2 linked regions of the Callithrix jacchus genome follow. Each later gene encodes a partner of the first gene's protein in a complex. Links are inferred from orthologs where the notes say so. Each region holds a gene or a part of one and is shown in the gene's direction. Other genes may lie near its edges.

The links. Proteins that work in one complex are often made in the same cells at the same time.
Region 2: the proteins of FBXL5 (region 1) and IREB2 are in contact, whole or in part, in a cryo-EM structure (PDB 6VCD), measured with the Homo sapiens proteins. The link is inferred for Callithrix jacchus from reciprocal best matches to the Homo sapiens genes FBXL5 and IREB2. Residues at the interface, in NP_036293.1 of Homo sapiens: Asp656, Glu657, Tyr661, Cys662, Asp663, Asn664, Ile665, His669, Ala670, Asp671, Thr672, Ala673, Ser674, Gly675, Cys676, Gln677, Asn678, Leu679, Gln680, Cys687, Arg688, Ser689, Gly690, Glu691; in NP_004127.2 of Homo sapiens: Asp89, Phe90, Ser129, Asn217, Val220, Glu221, Arg224, Arg228, Ala758, Gly759, Ser760, Arg763, Asn764, Thr777, Pro778, Arg779, Asn782, Ser783, Tyr784, Gly785, Ala786, Arg788.

What each region holds. Positions count from the first base shown.
Region 1 is NC_133504.1:178,245,837-178,255,976, forward strand, and holds part of FBXL5 (F-box/LRR-repeat protein 5), read left to right. Parts: intron 1-1,682; coding exon 1,683-1,869; intron 1,870-3,789; coding exon 3,790-3,972; intron 3,973-7,922; coding exon 7,923-8,048; intron 8,049-10,140.
Region 2 is NC_133509.1:25,802,132-25,812,371, forward strand, and holds the start of IREB2 (iron-responsive element-binding protein 2), read left to right. Parts: upstream 1-3,327; 5' UTR 3,328-3,450; coding exon 3,451-3,469; intron 3,470-4,893; coding exon 4,894-4,983; intron 4,984-6,972; exon of another isoform or gene 6,973-7,281; coding exon of another isoform or gene 7,282-7,288; intron 7,289-10,240. UniProt on the Homo sapiens protein: RNA-binding protein that binds to iron-responsive elements (IRES), which are stem-loop structures found in the 5'-UTR of ferritin, and delta aminolevulinic acid synthase mRNAs, and in the 3'-UTR of transferrin receptor mRNA.

The sequences.
Region 1 (10,140 bases):
ATGCATAGGAAGATGTGTCTGGCTGATAGAGAGAAGCATCCAGTTCTTTTTGGGAACTGAAGAAAACCCAAGGGGGAAAAAACATTTGTTTTCTCAGAAAGGTTGTTACTTTTCATTAAATAGGTGATTTAATTAATTTACTCAGGAAATAATGATTTCCTTTTTTGTAAATGGCACTGTCTTCGATGTTAATAACTTCTGCTACCCTAATGTCTTTTCAGAACCTTTAGAGGATTCTTTAAGCTTTTAATTTTTAAAATATTTTCATGCTGTGTTTAAATAATTTTTCATGTTTTTTTTTTCCACTAGTGTACTTTAGTATTTAAATGGTGGTTTTAAATTTATTAGTCTTGGCTGGGCGTGGTGGCTCACATCTGTAATCCCAGCACTTTGGGAAGCTGAGGCAGGAGGATTGTTTGAGTCCATGAGTTCAAGACCAGCGTGGGCAAAATAGTGAGACCTCCTCTTTGTTAAAAATTAAAACAATCAGCTGGGCATTGTGGCATATGCCTGTCATCCTGACTACTTGGGAGCTTGAGGTGCAAGAATTGCTTGAACCCAAGAGGCTGAGACTGCAGTGAGCCATGATTGTGCCATGGTGCTTCAGTTTGAGTGACAGAGTAAGGACTGTGTCTTCAAACAAACAAGAACAATTATTAGTCTTAAGCCTACTATACATATATTAGGGTATCATTGTATGAATTGGTAAAACGTTTTCCCTTTTTCCTCTGTCTCTAATATGGGATGAATATTAGGATAAGAAATAGATAAATGATTTTATGAGGAACTGAATACCTGTTCAGCTGTAAATCAATTACTGTAGTGATTCTCAACTATAGCTTTACCTTAAAATCAAATTGGTATTTAAACAAACAAAAGAAACCCCAACAGTATTTTAAGCACTTTCTGGTATATTATATCAGAGTTAAATCAGAGAACAGGCATTGACCTGGGTATTTTTTCAGGGCCCTCCAACTCACTGTAATATACAGCCAGTGTTGAAACCTGAATTACTAGAGCAACCAGTGTTTCTTAACCTATGATACTCATCAAAATTATCTGTGGAAGTGAAAACAAAACAAAGTTTTGGTTCTAACCTCTAAAGATTCTAATTCTGTAAATTGAAGTTTGGAACTAAGCATCTGTTTAGCAAAAGAAATCTTCATAGATAATTATTGTAGGAACCACTTTTCTAAAATAATGATTTGAGGGAACAGTTCCAAAATCCAGAAATAATATTGAAAAGTTACATGTCTCAGCAGAGTTCTGACTTTTATGGTTGCAGTATACTGACTGGGTACCACTCTCATGTGAGGCAGAGGGACTATTTCTGTAGAGTTCAGTTACTCTAGTACCAGAAGGCAGTTAACTGACCTAAACATTTACAGAGAATGATTAAGAGTGTTTGACAAATTCTGTATCGGCAAACCTTCTGGTCCTCATGCTTTAAAATTGTTTTGGGATTGATTTGCTAGCTAGAGAAACATAACAAGAAGGATCTTCTTGAGGTACTCTTCTCTGCAATTTTTAGATAAACTAACTCAGTGGTAACAGATAAAATTTTTATCTGCTTCAGATATATGGTCATAATAAGACATGCAAGCCATTAATAACTTAAAAAGCTGTAGAGTGAAATAACACGAATTAAGTATCATTCCTTGTGAATATTTTGTTTAATTTAGGTTTTTCAGCCCATGTTAATGGAATATTTTACCTACGAAGAGCTTAAGGATATTAAAAAGAAAGTGATTGCACAACACTGCTCTCAGAAGGATACTGCAGAACTCCTTAGAGGTCTTAGCCTATGGAATCATGCTGAAGAGCGACAAAAATTTTTTAAATATTCTGTGGATGAAAAGTCAGATAAAGGTGAGATTTCTATACATAGATAAAGAACAATTTATTAGTTATAAGGCCATTGACATCTTACTGATATGAACTGTAGATTTTGGTTGAGAAACAATTTAAGTTAGACCTGCACTGTGATCAGTTAAAGCCGTTATTTTCATGTATGAATTTAATTGAAGACGATAGTTCTTATTTTAGAATTTAGTGTTGTGTATGATAATTTAACATATATTTGGGACATATGCTGTGTAGTGTTTCTTCAATGAATTTATAAATGCATAGTCAAAATTATTGAAAACTACCAATACAGAGCACTGGCCTGCTAAAAATTGATCAGTCAGAATTGTTGAAAACTACTGTTACACAGAACACTTTTGCAGTATCATCCCACTTCCTGAGCTCTGTTGACCATAGTGGCTGATTTTTATCTTTCCTTGTGTTTTTCATTGGTTTTCAGTCAGTTATGTTTATAGTTTATTTTCATCCTTTCCATCAGCTGGCAAAAAATGTATCATTTTTTTTCAGCTTGTATGTATTAATAGTCAGAGGAATAAGTACCAGAGGCAAAGTTTTTCTGTATAGTTACTCTGAGAATACAAATGAGAAATGCGAATAAAACATGCTGCCCTTTTAAAAAAAAATAAACTACTTTCTCATTTTTTATTATTTATGTTCAGTAGCTTTGCTTCTTCAAGATTGTTGGTAGCAATGGCATTTCTGTTAAAATAACTTGGAGTTTTTTGAAAGTGATCCTTTTATTTTTATTTAACAAAGTAGGTAGAGGGTCGGGGGATCCCTCAGCCGCCAGTGCATGATCCTGGCCCCCTCCAAAAATAAAAATAAAAGTAGGTGAAGTGTATGTTGAAACCAAAGTTATTTTACAAGTTTTAAGCTATAATTAATCCCATAAAGCTTGTATGCTTTACTCTGAAACGTAGCTTGTGCTTTAGATACCAAGTTAAGACTTGTTATGTCTGGTTTAATTGTAATTATAACATGAGATTTAAAAGTATCACACTTACCACATTTTATTTTCCCACTCCTTCAAAGCAAATTGTAGCTGTATTATGTTTAAAATATTTGCCATTTTAAAACTAGTAGTTTAATGAATGTGATCATAGCATTTCTATATTTAAGTTGCTTTGTGAAGACAAATCAGGTATATAAAGTACTCAAATTCTTCATAGGACTTTAACGACAAATCTTTTTTTTTTTATTGTAACACCTCATTTTCATTTTTATTTTGGAAATTGTTATTAAAATAATACATTATAGGTTTATACATCCAATAAGTACTTCCTGCAATAGTTGCTGAGAGTATATTTCTTATTAGTGTGAAACAGCATCAGAAATATTTACATTTTGTCATCTCACCTGCGACATAAATAATTGAAGTGGTTTAAAGTGCCTATATGTTAAGGCAGTCAGATTTTGCAGACCTCTGGTATGAAATGTGAAAATCAAAGAGGGAATACGAGGAAAATTATTGACAGGAGTCATCATGCATGAATGGAAAAGGTAGTGACATTTGTATGTGTCATTAAAAATGCCTTGGAGATCTCATAATCTGGCGTACTCTATACTTGTTGATTTAAAGCTGTGTAACCTGTTTGGTTCCTTTTTCAAATGATGCTACTTAATGCTATAAAGTGAGTGTTGTTTTTTTCTGTGATGCCTTTGTAAGAGGAAGTTAATTCTGTGTTCATTATTGTAACTTCCACTGATGAAGTGTGATTTGGGCCATGATAGTTTAACCCTACTGGTTCTTAACAAGTTTAACATCCCCATGTTACCTCTGTTACATGTTATTTCGTTTTCGCATCTTGCAAGCAGGAAGGAATTGACTTCAGGCACTGGATTTTGTTTATAGAAATGTGATTGTAATTTCTTATTGCATTTGCTCTTAGCCTTTACTGCTAAAGCTTTTCTTTTTTATTTCAGAAGCAGAAGTGTCAGAACACTCCACAGGTATAACCCATCTTCCTCCTGAGGTAATGCTGTCAATTTTCAGTTATCTTAATCCTCAAGAGTTATGTCGATGCAGTCAAGTAAGCACGAAATGGTCTCAGCTGGCAAAAACTGGGTCGCTTTGGAAACATCTTTACCCTGTTCATTGGGCCAGAGGTAGGTAAATGGGTTTAAAAAATATTTTCATGTGTTTTCTAGATACATATTCATTGACGTTAATGAACAAGGCCAGGGAGGGAAGCTTTGAGAGGTTGACCAAAAAGTAGATTTTACAGTTAGAGGATGTATTTTTGGTATATATTTTTGGAAAACTAGCAGTGCTGAAGTTCATGGGTAAATTATAATGATGTCTGCAATTAAAAAAATAATAAGAAAATATAGTTGGGGAAGGATGCAAAAAGATTGACAAAATGTTGGTAATTATTGAAGATAGGGGATTCATTATGCTAGTTCTTTCTGCTTTTGACTATCTTACAGAATTAGAAGTTAAAAATAAAATTAAGCTTTCAAAACTCCTTTAAATATATTTAATAACATGAGTATTTTTTAAATATGGAATAAATTTTTTAAAATGTAAGGGTGATATACCATTATGGCTCCATTTTGGTGATGGCTTAAAATAATTGTGAATCCGTTTTTGTCTTTGACCTATCTTTGATTGGTAATGCCACATTCCCTGAATCACAGTTTCATATTAATAGCATTATAGTAAATTACTTTTACTTGTGAAGAATTAAAGAAAATATTATTTTCCTCAACATGTAATGCAGTTATGGGTTAAATACAGCTAATAGAGCATACATTTTTTCTGTCACTGAATTAAAACAATTTCTTCCACGTGAGCTTTTGGGGGTTTTTTTTTGTTCATTTTGTTTTATTTTTTTGAGATGGAGTTTTGCTCATGTTGTCCCGTCTGGAGTGCAATGGCATGATCTTGGTTCATTGCAACCTCTGCCTCCTGGGTTCAAGTGATTCTCCTGTCTCAGCCTTCCAAGTAGCTGGTATTACAAGTATGCGCCACCACGCCTGGCTAATTTGTATCTTTAGTAGAGGTGGGTTTTCACCATGTTGATCAGGATGGTCTTGAACTCCTGACCTCAAGTGATCCACGTATCTTGGCTTCCCAAAGTGCTGGGATTGCAGATGTGAGCCACTGCATCCAGCCTAGGTGAATATTAGATTCCAAATTCACATAATTTTTTTTTTCTGTTTATGACTTTGTCTGATTTAAATTGTGAATGTGATTTAAAAGCAATTTTATTCATTACAATAACACATAGCACTTTAGAAATAAGCTGTTAGATATTTAGTTTTTTTGAGTAAAGCTATTTGGAGTATCAGGTAGATTTATATCATCTAAATGATTACAGTTGTTATGTGGAAAAATTTTTTCTATTAGTTGTAGGATAATGAAATATTTATTGAAAAGTCAAGACAAACATGGATGCATACAATATTTTCTGACTTTTTAATTTTTAAGATTTGATATGAGTGTCAGTTGTGATAATGCTGTGCTAACTTTCATAAATTCACCGAAATCTCAAATATACTGTTTTTTTCTGTTTTTAATATTTTTAAACAAAAAGTTCCAATCACTCTGGGCAACATACAGAGACCTCATCTCTACTAAAAGAATAAATGGTCAGGCGCAGTGGCTCACACCTGTAATCCCAGCAATTTGGGGGGCTAAGGTGGGTGGATCACCTTAGGTCAGGAGTTCAAGACAAGCCTGGCCAACATTGTGAAACCTTATGTCTACTAAAACTATAAGAATTATCCCAGTGGGGTGATAGGCACCTGTAATCCCAGCTACTCGGGAGGCTGAGGCAGGGAGAATTGCTTGAACTTGGGAGTTGGTGGTTGCAGTGAGCCGAGACGTGCTATTGCACTCCAGCCTGGGCGACAGAGCAAGACTCAGTCTGAAAATCAATCAGTGAATCACAAAAAAAAAACCAAAACAAACAAAAATAAAAAAAAAATTACCAGGCATGGTGGCACATGCCCGTAGTCCCAGTTACTTGGGAGGCTCGGGTAGGAGGATCATTTGAGCATGGGAAGTCGAGGCTGCAGTGGGCCATGATCACATCACTGCACTCCAATCTGGGTGACAGAGGGAGACTCTGTCTTTAAAAAAAAAAATAGAAATCGTTTTTTATTTATTTATATTATTTGCTTTGAGTGGTTCTCAATTTGATTTCCCCCCTTCAGGGGACATTTGAAACATCTGGAGACATTTTTGTTTGTCCCATCTTTGGGTATCATACTGGCATCTAATGGGTATAGGCCAGGGTTGTTGCTAAGCACCCTATTATCCACGGGACAGCTCCCAACAACAAATAATTATTCATCCCAAAATGTCAATAGCGTCAAGGTTGAGAAACCCTAATTTAAATGAAATGTTAAGAGTTGAGTAAATTGGCTGGGCACAGTGGCTCACAGCTATAATCTCCTAGCACTTTGGGAGGCCAAGGCAGGAGATTGCCTGAGCTCAGGAGTTTGAGACCACCATGGGCAACATAGTCAGCGTGGCTGTGCATACCTGGTATCCCAGCTACTTGGGAGGCTTGAGTTTGGGAGACAGAGGTTGCAGTGAGCCCAGAATGCTACCCTGCACTTCAGCCTGGGCGCTAGAGTGACACTCTGTCTCCAAAAAAATGAGATTAGTGAATTGATTCCTCATAATCTCTCACTTCATGATCATATAATTTAGTTACAGTACATTCTCCAGGATCTATAAATTTACATTGGCTTTACATTAATCTTTCCCTTTGCTTCTGTTTCCATCTACTTCTGAATGGCTGACTGATAGACTGCAGAGTAGACCTGCTTCCTTTTATTTATTGGCTGTTATCATAATGGGGCTACTGTAGGAACCAGTGTGAAACCACAGCAAGGGACAATGTTTGCTTATTGTGATTTCTAAAATTTTATTCAAGACTTGATAAACATTAAGTGTATTTCTATAAAAGACAAAAAAATTGAAAAACTTTTTGTACAGAGAGTAGATTCATAGCAGTAGACTATATAAATTTTTGTAGTTACTGTTCTGTTTCCACAGTTTGAAAGAGATTTACTTTAAGAAATTATGAACTATTGGTTAATTGATTATTATTGTTAGTTGAACCCACCTAGTCATAGTTCTTTTCAGTTTGTCTGAAATGAAATCTTTTTCTTATTTCAGTGTAATTTTTTTAACCATAATTAAATATTTCTAAAAATAGCTTGCCCATTGCCTAGGACTCAGATATTTTCTCTTTTAGAGATTTTTATTGTAAATAGCGTAGTTTTTATGTAATTGAAGGCAATCTAATATTATTTTGATCCTCTTGTTTATTCGTCGAATAGGTGACTGGTATAGTGGTCCTCCAACTTTTTTTTTTTTTTTTTTTTTTAAGAACACACTGCTTGTTTATTAGAACCTTTACAAGAGAAAATAGTAATTATGAGAGAAAATAGTACTACAGCAAATAGTCATAACATTAATTGAAATGAAAGACTACAATGTCATACTATTTTGCTTTTTACAAAATAAAGTTTTGCTTAGAAAAAATATTAGAAGGAATTGTATTATAATCTGAGGTGGTAGAATTACTGGCAAAATTTCTTATTTATGTATTTCTTTATTTCCCAATTATCAAAAAAAAAAAAGCCTACATGATTAAGAAGATTTTTCAAAGTGAAAATATTTTTATAGTATGATTTTAAAATTATAGGATTAGATCAAAATGGGGCACCATCCTGAGCAATTCTGTGACCTGGGGAAATTTATTCAACTTTTCTAAGCTCCAGTTTCTCTACTCTTCTAAAAATTATGACAATTATAAAAAAAAGGCTTGCAAAACACTTTACATAGTACCACATCCATAAATGTTTCTGCTGTGCTGTTACTGACATTAAAGCGGATGTTAAGACCCATTATAATGAAATGACTTATAAAATCCGTTCTATCTTAAATAGTTTTAAAGTATACATGTTACATAGTAGATAGAACATAGTCTAAGAACTATCCCTGATGATCCAGGCATACCTCAAAGATACCGCTTAGTTTTTTTGTAATTGCAGGCAATCTAATATTATTTTGATCCTCTTGTTTATTCATCAAATAGGTGACTGGTATAGTGGTCCTGCAACTGAACTTGATACTGAACCTGATGAAGAATGGGTGAAAAATAGGAAAGATGAAAGTCGTGCTTTTCATGACTGGGATGAAGATGCTGACATAGATGAATCTGGTAAGCTTGTTTGGAATTAAAATTATTACATGGTATTTTAATAATTGGTATGTTAACTAAGTATTTACAGTTAGGTATTAAGATTTATGTATTTTGTGTTTTCTCAAGAAAGTAGTGTTTCTAAGCCTTTTTAAAATTTGGAGGAATAAGAAAATTTAAAATTGAAGTACTTTAAAGAGTGCGTAGGATTGTTTCTCTTTTGTTTTTATATTAAAAAATCAGAAAATGATGCCTTTTTTCTTACGGAAATAATGTACGTTTATTATAGTGCTTTATAGTTTACAGTATGTTTTTAGGGACACTTTAAGTGATCAGTTGCACAGCATCTGTTGAGTCATCTGTCTTGAGGGAAATTGGATGAAACTGTTGAGTCGACTTACTCATTTGTAAATAGTCTTTAATACTTGCCTAAGAAAGTTGTTGTAGAATTAAGAAGTAATATACATGAAGATTCTTTGTAAATGGTAAGGGATTACAGAAACTAATGTAGCCATTCATTAAGCACTATGGGAGAGTTCAAGGGTGGATAAGACTTTATTGGTACTCCAAAAAACTCCCAGATGGGAGAAAATTTAGAAAATGTAATTTTTAATTTAAGGTACATGATGGAAAAATGCTGTCATACTTGTTCAGAGAGATACTATTTGGAAGTATGAGGAGGAAGACATTCTGTCTTGGATATTATTCTAGATAACAATTACTGAAAGATGGTAAAACAGTAAAAAATGTACAGAGGAGATATTCTTCTAGTTGGTAAAACTGAAACTCTAGGAAATTTTATTTATAAAACTACCACTTAAAGTAATTTGGTCTGGTGAAAGAACTAAATGTGGAAAAAAGAAGAAACATGGAAAGTAAGCAGTATAAGTATAAAGATTGTTATTTCAGCAGCTAACAGTTTATTTTTATGAAACGTAGATGTGCCGCATTTTGAAATAAAGATTCAAAAGGTTCCATATAAGGGAAAGGTCTATTCTAGTTATGATAGATTTGGTGATGTGCTTACCTGTGGCAGGTATTGTTTTAAGTATGAAGTATATAATGGTAAATAAAATGGAAAAAAACAAAACAAAACAAAAACCTGGCCCTTGTTAAGCTTAAAATTTAGAGAGGGGAGGCAGACAATAAATGCAGGTAAAATATAATCCGTATTAGATGGTGACATGTGTTGTGGAGAAAAATAAAACAAGGAAAACATGCCAAGAAGATTTAAAAATCGTAGTTTTAAATTGACTGACTAGTTAAGGTCCGTTGAGAAATTTGATCAAAGACCTGAAGGAGATGAGATACTTGCTTAGATGGCAATTTAAAGTCTTCGCTTATTCATTCTAAAAAATTAATTCATGATACCCAGGATAAGAATTTTGAAGGTTCTAACAATGTCAGTGTATTTGTCTTAATCCTTGAAGACAGTCAAAGCAAAGTTTGTCGATTTCCTTCATATTGAAAAGGAAAAGTTAAGCCTTTTCAGATAATGTACCTGTTGATTATTAAAGACTAAACTGCCATTTACTTCAGTGCTTTTTTCAGTTTCGCTGTTTTGTCTTTACTTGTCCTGCAAATAAGTTATTGTTTTTCATAGAAATTTTTCATTTCTTAAAAAATATTTCACAGTTTCAATTACCATGATTTGATCATCATACAATGTATACAGGTACTAAAGTATCACATGTACCCCCCAAAATATGTATAACTGTTATAGGTCAATAAAAAAGAAAGTTACAAAAAATTGAAAATTTTACAATAAATAGTATACATTTAGATAGCGAATGCCACAGAAACAAAAGAATGTCTTGGGAATAAAATTTTAGTATCATGAATAGGGCTCACAAAGTAATTTTTGTTTCCTTATATTTTATCTTGGGGTGCGTGTGTGTGTGTGTATGTCTGGTTAATGGAGGAATTTAGGATAATATCTGTAAACAAGGAACCATGAGTAACAAATTCTTTCAGTTTATATCCTTTTGTCTGCCATACTTTAGTTTTTTTTTAAATGAAACTTCCTTAATCTATTCTGTTAAATTGTTTTATGTTTAAAAACATTCAAATTAGGTCTTTACATAAGAATAGTAACAATAGGATCCTGAGAAAG
Region 2 (10,240 bases), on another chromosome or scaffold:
AAACAATAACAACTCTGTTTAAAATTATCTGAGCCTAGAGTTTAACCCCATTTACAAGTAAAAACAAAAGTAATTTGTGTATGGTTTTAATATATACGGATTATTACTTTTTTTTTTTTGAGATGGAGTCTCACTCTGCCACCCAGGCTAGAGTACAGTGGTGCAATCTCAGCCCACTGCAACCTCTGCCTCCCAGATTCAAGCGATTCTCCTGCCTCAGCCTCCTGAGTAGCTGGAACTACAGGCACACCCCACCACACCTGGCTATTTTTTTTTTTTTTTTAAGATGGGGTTTCACCATGACGGCCAGGCTGGTCTTGAACACCTGATCTCAGGTGATCCACTCACCTCGGCCTCCCAAAGTGCTAGGATTACAGGCATGAGCCACTGTGCATAGCCTAATTTTTTTTTTTTCTTTTTAGTAGAGATGTGGTTTCACCATGTTGCCCAGGATGGTCTCAGTCTTCTGACCTCCTGATACACCTGCCTCAGCCTCCTAAAGTGCTGGGATTACAGGTGTGAGCCACCACACCCAGCCTATATAGAGAATTTTCTAGGAATAAAACTACTGTGTAAAAAAAGCAAAGGTTTTATTTCATTTTGTTTTGAACTTTACCAAGAGTTATTTACCACTTCAGGAAATCTCAATAGTAACAACACTTCCAATATTTGAGTCACTAATATATTTTTATTAGTCTTTAGAGGAGGCCATTCATGATATATATGTACATTTTATACATATGTGCATTTGCCATATATGCATTCTTAATACATATTTATGCATGATATGTATGTATATATTGAATCCTTATTTTGCAATGTCAGACATAAATAAAAAGCGTTGGGCGGGTGTGGCGGCTTATGCCTGTAATCCCAGCAGTTTGGGAGGCTGAGGTGGGTGGATCACCTGATGTCAGGACCAGCCTGGGCAACATGGTGAAACCCCATCTCTACTAAAAATACAAAATTAGTCAGGTGTGGTGGCACATGCCTGTAATCCCAGCTACACGGGAGGCTGAGGCAGAAGAATTGCTTGAACCTGGGAGGCAGGGGTTGCAGTGAGTTGAGATTGTACCACTGTACTCCATCCAGCCTGGGCAACAAAAGCAAAACTCTGCCTAAAAAAAAAAAAGTGTTGACCATATTCAGCTGAATATTATCTTTTTTTGAGACAGGGTCTCATTCTGTCACCCAGGTTGGAGGGCAGTGGCACAATCATAGCTCACTGTAATCTTGAATTTCTGAGCTCAAGTGATCCTCCTGCCTCTGTCTCACAGTAGCTGGTACTACAAGCATGCACCACTACGCCTGGCTAACTCTTCTAAATTTTTGTAGGGACAGGGTCTCACTATGTTGCTCAGGTTGGTGTTAAACTCCTAGCATCAAGCAATCCTGCTGCTTTGGCCTCCCAAAGCGCTGGGATTACAAACCTGAGCTATACCAACTGTGCCTGGCCCAGTCGAATATTATATGTCCTGTAAAATCAAACTCATTCATTATATATAGATATAAGCATCTGATGACTCAATTTTGTCATCTAATATAGACATGCCTGTGCACCTACATATTGTAATACATATTATTTTCTAATAAATTACTGTCCTATTTTTCTCCTTTATATTACAGTTAGGTCCTTAAGTAGATTATTTTATTGTTGTGCATGTAGATTACCTGTGAATTTCATGCTGAGATTGCAAAGGAGATGTTACAAAATATAGCAAGGTGAATAAAGGAAATACACTGGAATTTGGGTTGACAGGGCTTGGGTCAATGATTAAAAGGAGAGGGAAAGGAGTTGGGTACAATGTGTTGATTTCTGGCTTAGGCGACCAGGTAGATGCCACCATTCGCTGATACAGGCAATACAAAAGGAACAGTGGGTTTAAGGAGGAAAACGATGAGTTAGGTTTTGGTGATTTTTAGTTTGAAGTGGCTGTGGGATGTGGAGGCATCCAATGGACTAGGATATACACACCTCTGGGTTCAGGAGACAGTCTCAGGTTACAGGCAGACTGGGAAGCAACAACATATTAACTAATAACAAGTTAAAGGAAAGGTGAGATGGGTCAGGGAAAATTGAGAGAGGGAGGAGGTACAAGGCCAGAACTCTGGGGCACATTTAATGTTCAATACATTACTTTTTGAGACCGCGTCCCGCTGTGTTGCCGAGGTTGAAGTGCAGTGGTGCCGTCATGGCTCGCCACAGCCTAAGCATCCTGGGCTCAAGTGATCCTCCCATCTTAGCCTCCTGAGTCGCTGAGACTACAGGTGCATGCCACCATGCCCAGCTAATTTTTAAATTTTTTTTGTAGAGATGGGGGACTCACTATGTTGCCCTGTTGGGTCTCGAACTTTTCAGCTCAAGCTATCCTCCCACTTTGGCCTCCTAAAGTGCTGGAATTACAGACATGAGCTACTGTGCCCGTCCAGTGCCCAGTACATTTACAAGCTGGGCAGAGGAAGAGGCCTGCAGAGGAGCCTGAGATCAAGCACCCTTATGAGAAAAAAAAAAGTAGAGTCTGAGGTCACAGAAGCTGATAGAAGAGTATTTTTCAACAAGGGGAAAGAACCAGTCAAGACTGAGGTACGTGAGATCAGCAAGTGGAGTCATGGCTTATCTTGGCTAAAGGCATTTCTGGGAGTGGAAACCAGACTGGAAGAAGATAAGAAGTGGAACGGAGAGGGCGAGTATGAGCAACTTCTTCTGTTAAGTTGCTGCCCACAGGAGATAATGCTGGGCAGATGGAGCACACAGGGGCCGGAGGAGCTGAGGCGGAGGGATGGAGAGGCTTAAGTATGTTAACTGCGGCAGAGATGGAAGCTACAGGAGTAAATGAAAAAAATTAATTCATTCAACACTTTGTTGAGTGCCTCCCACGCACCGGATCAGTGTGGCCGCCCCAACTGAGAACAGGCGTGTGGGCCGCTCACGTCTGACAATTTAACGTAAGGCTTTACCGTTACGGGAAAGGGGTTCTCCTTCAGCTTTTCCTCCTAGGAGTTCCCATTCCGACCCTGATTCCAAAAGACACCTTGCGGGACCGCGCACACAGCTGGAACTCACGACCCCAATACAAACCTTCAGGCCACAACTAAGTAACGGATCGCTGCAAAGGCCAAACTAGAGATTCCAATGCCACCGCTGGAGCCTCCCCAGCGCTCCGCCCCCGCTCGCGAGAAAAGCGGCGAGGGCGCGAGAAATCGCCCTCTGGTTAGCTCCGCCCCTTCTCTTTCTTTGTTTTCCTGCCGAAGATCTCGCGGGAGTTAGCCGACAAATCCCGCAAGCGCAGGCCCGGGCTGGCTCTGCGGCTCTCGCGATATTTGAGCGAGACTGCTTCCTTCCTTCTTCCCTTGCCAGTCCGCCTGTCTTCCTCCCCCTCTTCCCTGCCCGGCCTCCCCTCTCCTTCCCCCGCCGGCCCCCTCCCCGCAGGGATAATATGGTCTCCGGCGATGGACGCCCCAAAAGCAGGTCAGTTTCGGGCCTCCGAGCTGGGTCTGGCAGCTGGAAACGCGCGGTGCCTAAGCGCCGTGTTCCTTGCTTTTCTTGCCTGGAGTTGCTCGGCAGGCGCCCAGGCCCTCGGGGCTCAGGTTATGCTCCCCTTGGGGCCTGCCTGCTGGGCCGCCCTTTGAGCCCAGGCCGCAGAAGGTGGGACTCCCCGCCCTCACCCTCCCGCGCGACCCCCGCAGGCCGGGCCGCCGCACCGCTGGTCTTGACCCGCACCCTTCTCTCTCCGGTGGCCGCTGCCTGCTGCCAGCGCCTTCCTGGCCCCCGTCAGCAACACCAGGGGCAGGGAGAGGCCCACCATCTTCCTCTGCCCGCCCCCCATTGGTGAGCGATGAGGGCGGGGGCCTGCGTCTCCGTGCTCGGGTCTCACGCAGCTGGATGTTGGTTCCACAGCCCAGCCTCAGGCCCCTCGGTCTCTCTGTGTCTCTGGAAGCCGAATGAGGGGCAGTTAAGGTTGAAGATTGGTCAGTCAGTTCCCCGACCATTTGTTGCAGTGCTGTAGACACCTCCCGCCGTCCACCTCCTTCTAGAAAAAAAGAAAAAAATACTGTTCATTCTAACAATGCGTTGTACTTATGTTTTCTGTTTTTGGATGAAAGCCTTAACAATGTTGAGGGTCCTACCCACCCACCGCTATGAGTCTGCACAAAAGATCTGAAGGTTCTTTTCAACGTCAAGGCTGCCTCCCCGCCACTGCCCCCTAGAATGTTGGGAGCTGAGGCACATTCAAATGAGACCCCTGCATCTTTGACTTTGTAGTTCAGCTTCAATTCGTGCAAAACCAGAAGGACTTCTATCTTTCGGGGAGAATATGCTAATTTCCTAGATATTTTGTTACTTTAATTTTCTGTACTAAATCCTTGTAAGGACTTAACTGAGAAGTTTTTTGTTTTTGTTTATTGAATGCTTCGTAAAAAATCCATCTTTTGGTTTTTTTAATTAGTCCCTCTAATGCTAATTTTGGAGTTCCCAAATTCCTGTCTCTGCAGTTTTCAAGACATATCTTTTCCAAAACGTCCCCGTAGATTATTTAAATCATTTTTAGTGTCTCCTTCCAGGTATTGTGTGTTAAAACATTTCTGGAGTGAATTATCTTACTAGTTTTTATTCGACACATTATGGTTTAGAGATATGCTGTCCAGTGTGGTGGATACTAGCCCTGTGTTACTGTAATAAAAATTAAATAAATGGAAAACTCAGTTCCTCAGGCACCATAGCCACCTTTCCAGGTGCTCAATAGCCACACGTCGCTAATGGCTACTTTACTGGACAGGTCAAACATAGAACATTTGTACCATTGCAGAAAATTCTATTAGACAAAGCTAGTTTCCAAGTATTTTCATTCCAGGTATTGTTGCTGTGTTTAATTAAAATGTTTTTTTTTTCAGGATATGCCTTTGAGTACCTTATTGAAACATTAAATGACAGTTCACATAAGAAGTTCTTCAATGTATCTAAACTTGGAGGCACCAAGTATGGTAATGTTGCTTTACATTTTCTTGAATTTGTTTAGTCTCTAATAATTAAAATGCATTTGTCAAACTGAGCTGAAGAAATTTTAAATTTATTTCTACCGTGTTGTAACCGGTACACCTCCACATACTTACACCATTTTAAGAACTCCTCTTGGGAAAACTTTTGTTCAGGGAAGATGTACCTTAACTTCTTATTTTAAAATCGAGTTAATTAAGCACTAATTTTTTTTCCTCAAAGAAACCAGTAATGCAGTTTTTAAATTTTTTTTTTCTTATTTTTGTGGAGACTGGGGTCTTGCTATGTTACCCAGGCTAGTTTCCAACCCCTGGGCTCATATTATCCTCCTGCCTCTGCCTCCCTTAGTGTTGGGATTATACATGTAAGCTACCGTACCTGGCCTAATGTGATTTTTAGAAGAACCTGACTGACTGATGATATGCTACACCAATTAAATGTATATTTTGCTTTCTCTTTTCTTTCTTTCTTTCTTTTCTTTTCTTTCTTTTTTTTTTTTAAAGACAAAGTCTTGCTCTGTTGCCCACGCTGGAGTGCAGTGTCATGATCATAGCTCATGCAGCCTTGAACTCCTGGGCTAAAGCAATCCTTGTCTCAGCCTCCCAAGTAACTAGGCCTACAGGTGCATGCCAACACACTTGGCTAATTTTTATATTTTTTGTAAAGATGGGTTCTTGCTGTGTTGCCCAGGTCTCAAAACTCCTGACCTCAAGCGATCCTTCTGCTTCAACCTCTCAAAGTGTTGGGATTATAGGCATGAGCCACTGTGCCTGGCTTATTTTACTTTCTCAAATGAACAGTGCCCACATCTGTTCTTTTTGCCATCTGTTGAATAGGAATCACCAACAGGACCCACTGACTGAGTTGTTCTGCAGTGTTGGGCATTGTTTGCTCCAACCTGCACACCTACAGTTTTGGCAGACACTCTCATTCATCTGATCAGGGTCAAACCTTTCCCTGTGGTCTCAGAAGAGAATGTGGCTGACCTACAGGGCATTGGATGGAAGTTTTGACTTTACTGACAGTTGAGTAACTTTCTCAATTAGGCCAATAGTTTAGAAGACTGATTATTGTTAGTGAACTTTTCTGTGACAATGACATGAAAAGATAAATTGAATGCCATATCTATTATAGTCAGTTTTGGAAGGAGCTTTAACCTTGTTTATTCTTGCATTATTTACTTAAGATTGTTCTTGTGATTTTTCTGTAGATTTTGAGGAATTTAAATACTCTTGACTGCTGTGTGTGATATTTTTTGTGTATTGTGAAATACAGATTTTTTGGAGTATCTTAGAGAATCCCCATTTTGGAATTAGGTTGTCATTAAGAAATAATTTGCCAAAATGAGAGCAATATCCTTTACCTTCCATGTTTAGCTGCAGTGATTTGTAGTGATATGTTTGTTAAAAGAGGTTGGTCATTTTCTTAATGATGTGTGTCTTTCACATTAATTTTATCCCTTCACTGATGATGAGTTTGCATTAATTTTGAAAACAGCTAGATTGATTGTTTACAAGAATAGTCTTTTTATTTCCCTTTTACTTCTCCAAAATAATCTAGTGATCCTGGCTTGTAAGTTTTTCAACTCAAATTCCATAACTTAATAAATTAAAGGAGCACATACTGTGTTTTGAAGATTGAGTGTAAATACTTTGTGTATAATCTGTAGAAATGTGCTTACTTGAAGATGATATATATTTTTCAAATTTAGGGAATCAAAAACAACCGTAAAATGCTTTGAAAGGGAATGATTGATATAATATGGAAGTTAAATTTTCGCTGAGAAATAAGCTGTCATGGGCATTTGTGCATAACCTTACAGAGTACGTCTGTACTTAACATTATTCCAGAATTACCAGTTTTTATAACCATGATAAATGTAATAGAATACCTGTGAATATAAATAATTTCAAAACAGAAAGTTGGTTTTTATTTATGTGTGGTCAGTACCCTGGTTTTATTTTATTGTATTCTAGTTTTACTTTTGAGACAGGATCTAGCTCTATCACCCAGGCTGGAGTACAGTGGTGTGATCTCGGCTTACTACAACCTCCGCCTCCTCTGTTCAAGCGATTCTCCTGCCTCAGCCTCCCGAGTAGCTGGGACTACAGGTGTGCATCACCCGCCCAGCTAATTGTAGAGAAGAGGTTCTACCACGTTGGCCAGGCTGGTCTCAAACTCCTGACCTCAAGTGATCCCACCCACCTCAGCCTCCCAAAGTGCTGGGATTATAGGAGTGAGCCACTGCGCCTGGACCCTCTTGGTTTTTTAATAGAGTGATTATTATGAGAGGTAATTAAGTAATCATTCCTTAAGTAATTTCCTAGTAATTAAGAAGGAATAAAATTTGAAGAATTGACTTTGAAAGAAAGAAACAACTTAGGTAGAAAGTATTTTGCTTGTTTAGCCTTAGAACAAAAAATACGCATTTTTGAAGGGATCAGATTGAATTGCTTCCTAGAGATATGCTTACAAGAAGACATTGCTTTGGTAGTCAACAAGGTTCAGAGCCAGTCTTCTCTGCCTTCATTTCGAATTTTGTTACCTGCCACATTGAGAGTGACTGCTCTAACAAGTAACAATTAGTGAAGAAAATGGCCTCTATCCCTCATAAATTTTGCAGAGTAAAGATAATTAAGAAGCATTGTTCTAAGCTCCATGCTAACTGTATCAGGGATCCCTCAGCTGCAAGGAGCTGAAAACCTGCTGTCCAATGACTTTAAGAAATAGGAGTTTCTTTTTCTTTCTTTTTTTTGAGATGGAGTTTCGCTCTTGTTACCCAGACTGGAGTGCAATGGTGCGATCTCGGCTCAACTCAACCTCTGCCTCCTGAGTTCAGGCAATTCTTCTGCCTCAGCCTCCTGAGTAGCTGGGATTACAGGCACGCGCCACCATGCCCAGCTAATTTTTTGTATTTTTAGTAGAGACGGGTTTCACCATGTTGACCAGGATGGTCTCGTTCTCTTGACCTCGTGATCCACCCGCCTCAGCCTCCCAAAGTGCTGGGATTACAGGCTTGAGCCACCGTGCCTGGCAGGAGTTTATTTTTCTTACATAACAAGATCAACAGACTGGGGCTGTGCAGCACCAGTTTCAGCAAGGATTAAGGCTTGTCCTGTCTTACCATTTTGTTTTTATTCTTTTGGTTGCATCTCCAGGCATTATGTCCATGTTCCAAGCAGCTGGAGGGGCAAAACAAAAGGAAAGGCCCTCTCCAGGGGCTTTTGCCTCTTTGGCCAGAGTATCAGTGGCCACTCTTACCTTCAGGAAGGCTGAAAGGTAGAGTAATCATGATCTTCTCTTATCCACGGGAGATACATTCCAAGACCCCCAGTAGACACCTGAAACTATGGATAGTACCAAACTGTGTATATACTCGTTGGTGTATATGTATTTTCCTATACATACATACCTATGATCAAACTTAATTTATAAATTAGGCACAGTAGAGATTAACAGTAGCTAATAATAAAATAGAACAGTTATAATAGCATACTGTAATAAAGGTTATGTGAATGTGGTCTTTTTCTCTCTCTAAATACCTTACGGTGCTGTACTGCAGGTAACTGAAACCACAGAAAGCCAAACCATAGATGAGATGAGAGTACTGTGTTTTATCTCTACAGCTGTAACAACAGAGAAAGGAAAGGGAGAAGTGGTTGGAAGTGGGTGGTGAGTGAACCGGCCTAGACTGTCTGCCTTACCAACCTGATGTCCTCTCTCTTTTTTTATTTTTATTTTTATTTTTTTCGAGACGGAGTTTCGCTCTTGTTACCCAGGCTGGAGTGCAATGGCGTGATCTCGGCTCACCGCAACCTCTGTCCTCTGGGTTCAGGCAATTCTCCTGCCTCAGCCGCCTGAGTAGCTGGGATAACACAGATTATTTGATTTCTGCTTTTTTACTGCCATTTTATCCTTTTGCTTCCCAAATTTAGACTGAAGGTATCTCTGTGGGGGTGGGCACATCTTAGACATTGATTACGTTTTGATCTTGCATGATTCTGCTTGAGGGAATCTCTTGTCTTTTTGTTTGTTTTTGAGACAGAATCTCACTGTGTCACCTAAGCTGGAGTACAGTGGCATGATCTTGGCTCACTGCCACCTCTGTCTCCAGGGTTCAAACAATTCTCATGCCTCAGCCTCCCAAGTAGCTGGGACTTACAGGTGTGCACCACCATGTCCAGCTAATTTTTTATCTTTAGTAGAGGTGGAGTTTCACTATATTGACCAGGCTGGTCTCAAACTCCTAACCTCAAGTAGTCCTCCTGTCTTGGCCCCCCAAAGTGCTGGGATTACAGGTATGAACTACTGTACCCAGCCAGTTGTGGGGAATGTCTTTAATATTCTGGAGCTGCCTGTCTGGTGCTCTAGTTTGTTGAGTAGAAACATCATGTAGTCAAAATCTAGGTAGTCTCAAATGTAGATATTGAGTAACTCCTTAAAAAAAATTATAAAGATGGGGGCCTCACTGTCACCCTGGTTGGAATGCTGTGACATGATGATAGCTCACTGCAGCCTCAAACTCCTGAGGTCAGGAGATCCTCCTGCCTTACCCTCCCAAGTAGCTGATTTGGGTGACTCTTAAGTAGATCTCTGAATTCAAAACTATGGCTGTTTTTACAGAGAGGAGAAATCAGTGTTGTCAAGAGTAGTGAGAGGCTGCTTTTTGAAGGAGTTGAGACTTGAATTGCTATTAAACAGAGGATATGTGTGATGGAGGACAGTCAACACCAGAGAATCAGAATGAACAGCATAATGGAAACATGAATGACTATGTTGAATGAAGGGGAAGATAGTGGAGAGACTGGTCTGGCTGGAGTGAAAGGTTTATTTTAGAGAGTACCTATTATTGGCAACAGGGCCTCTGGTGGTGTAAAGCCCCCAGACTCCCTTCTTTATCTCAAGTTATCTCATTCACCCTTTCTTTTTTTCTTCCTGTCTGCTGGCTTTTTTAACCACAGTACTGCTTAGTCCTACAATAGAGCTGGGACTTAGTGTCCAAATCCTACCTTGCAGCCTTTGAAAGAAAATCCTGTATTTGATTTTTTAGGAGAGTTTTTATTGTTTATAAGAATCACAGAAAGACAAGAACATTGCAGACAGTACAGAGAGTCTCATTTTTATGTGTGTACAAAAATACATGCAGATATGCTCCTTTTAATGAAAACAAGAAAGCATAGTCAAGGGTATATGTTGTTTTGTAACCCTTTTTTCAGTTAATAGATCATGAACATCTTTCCATGT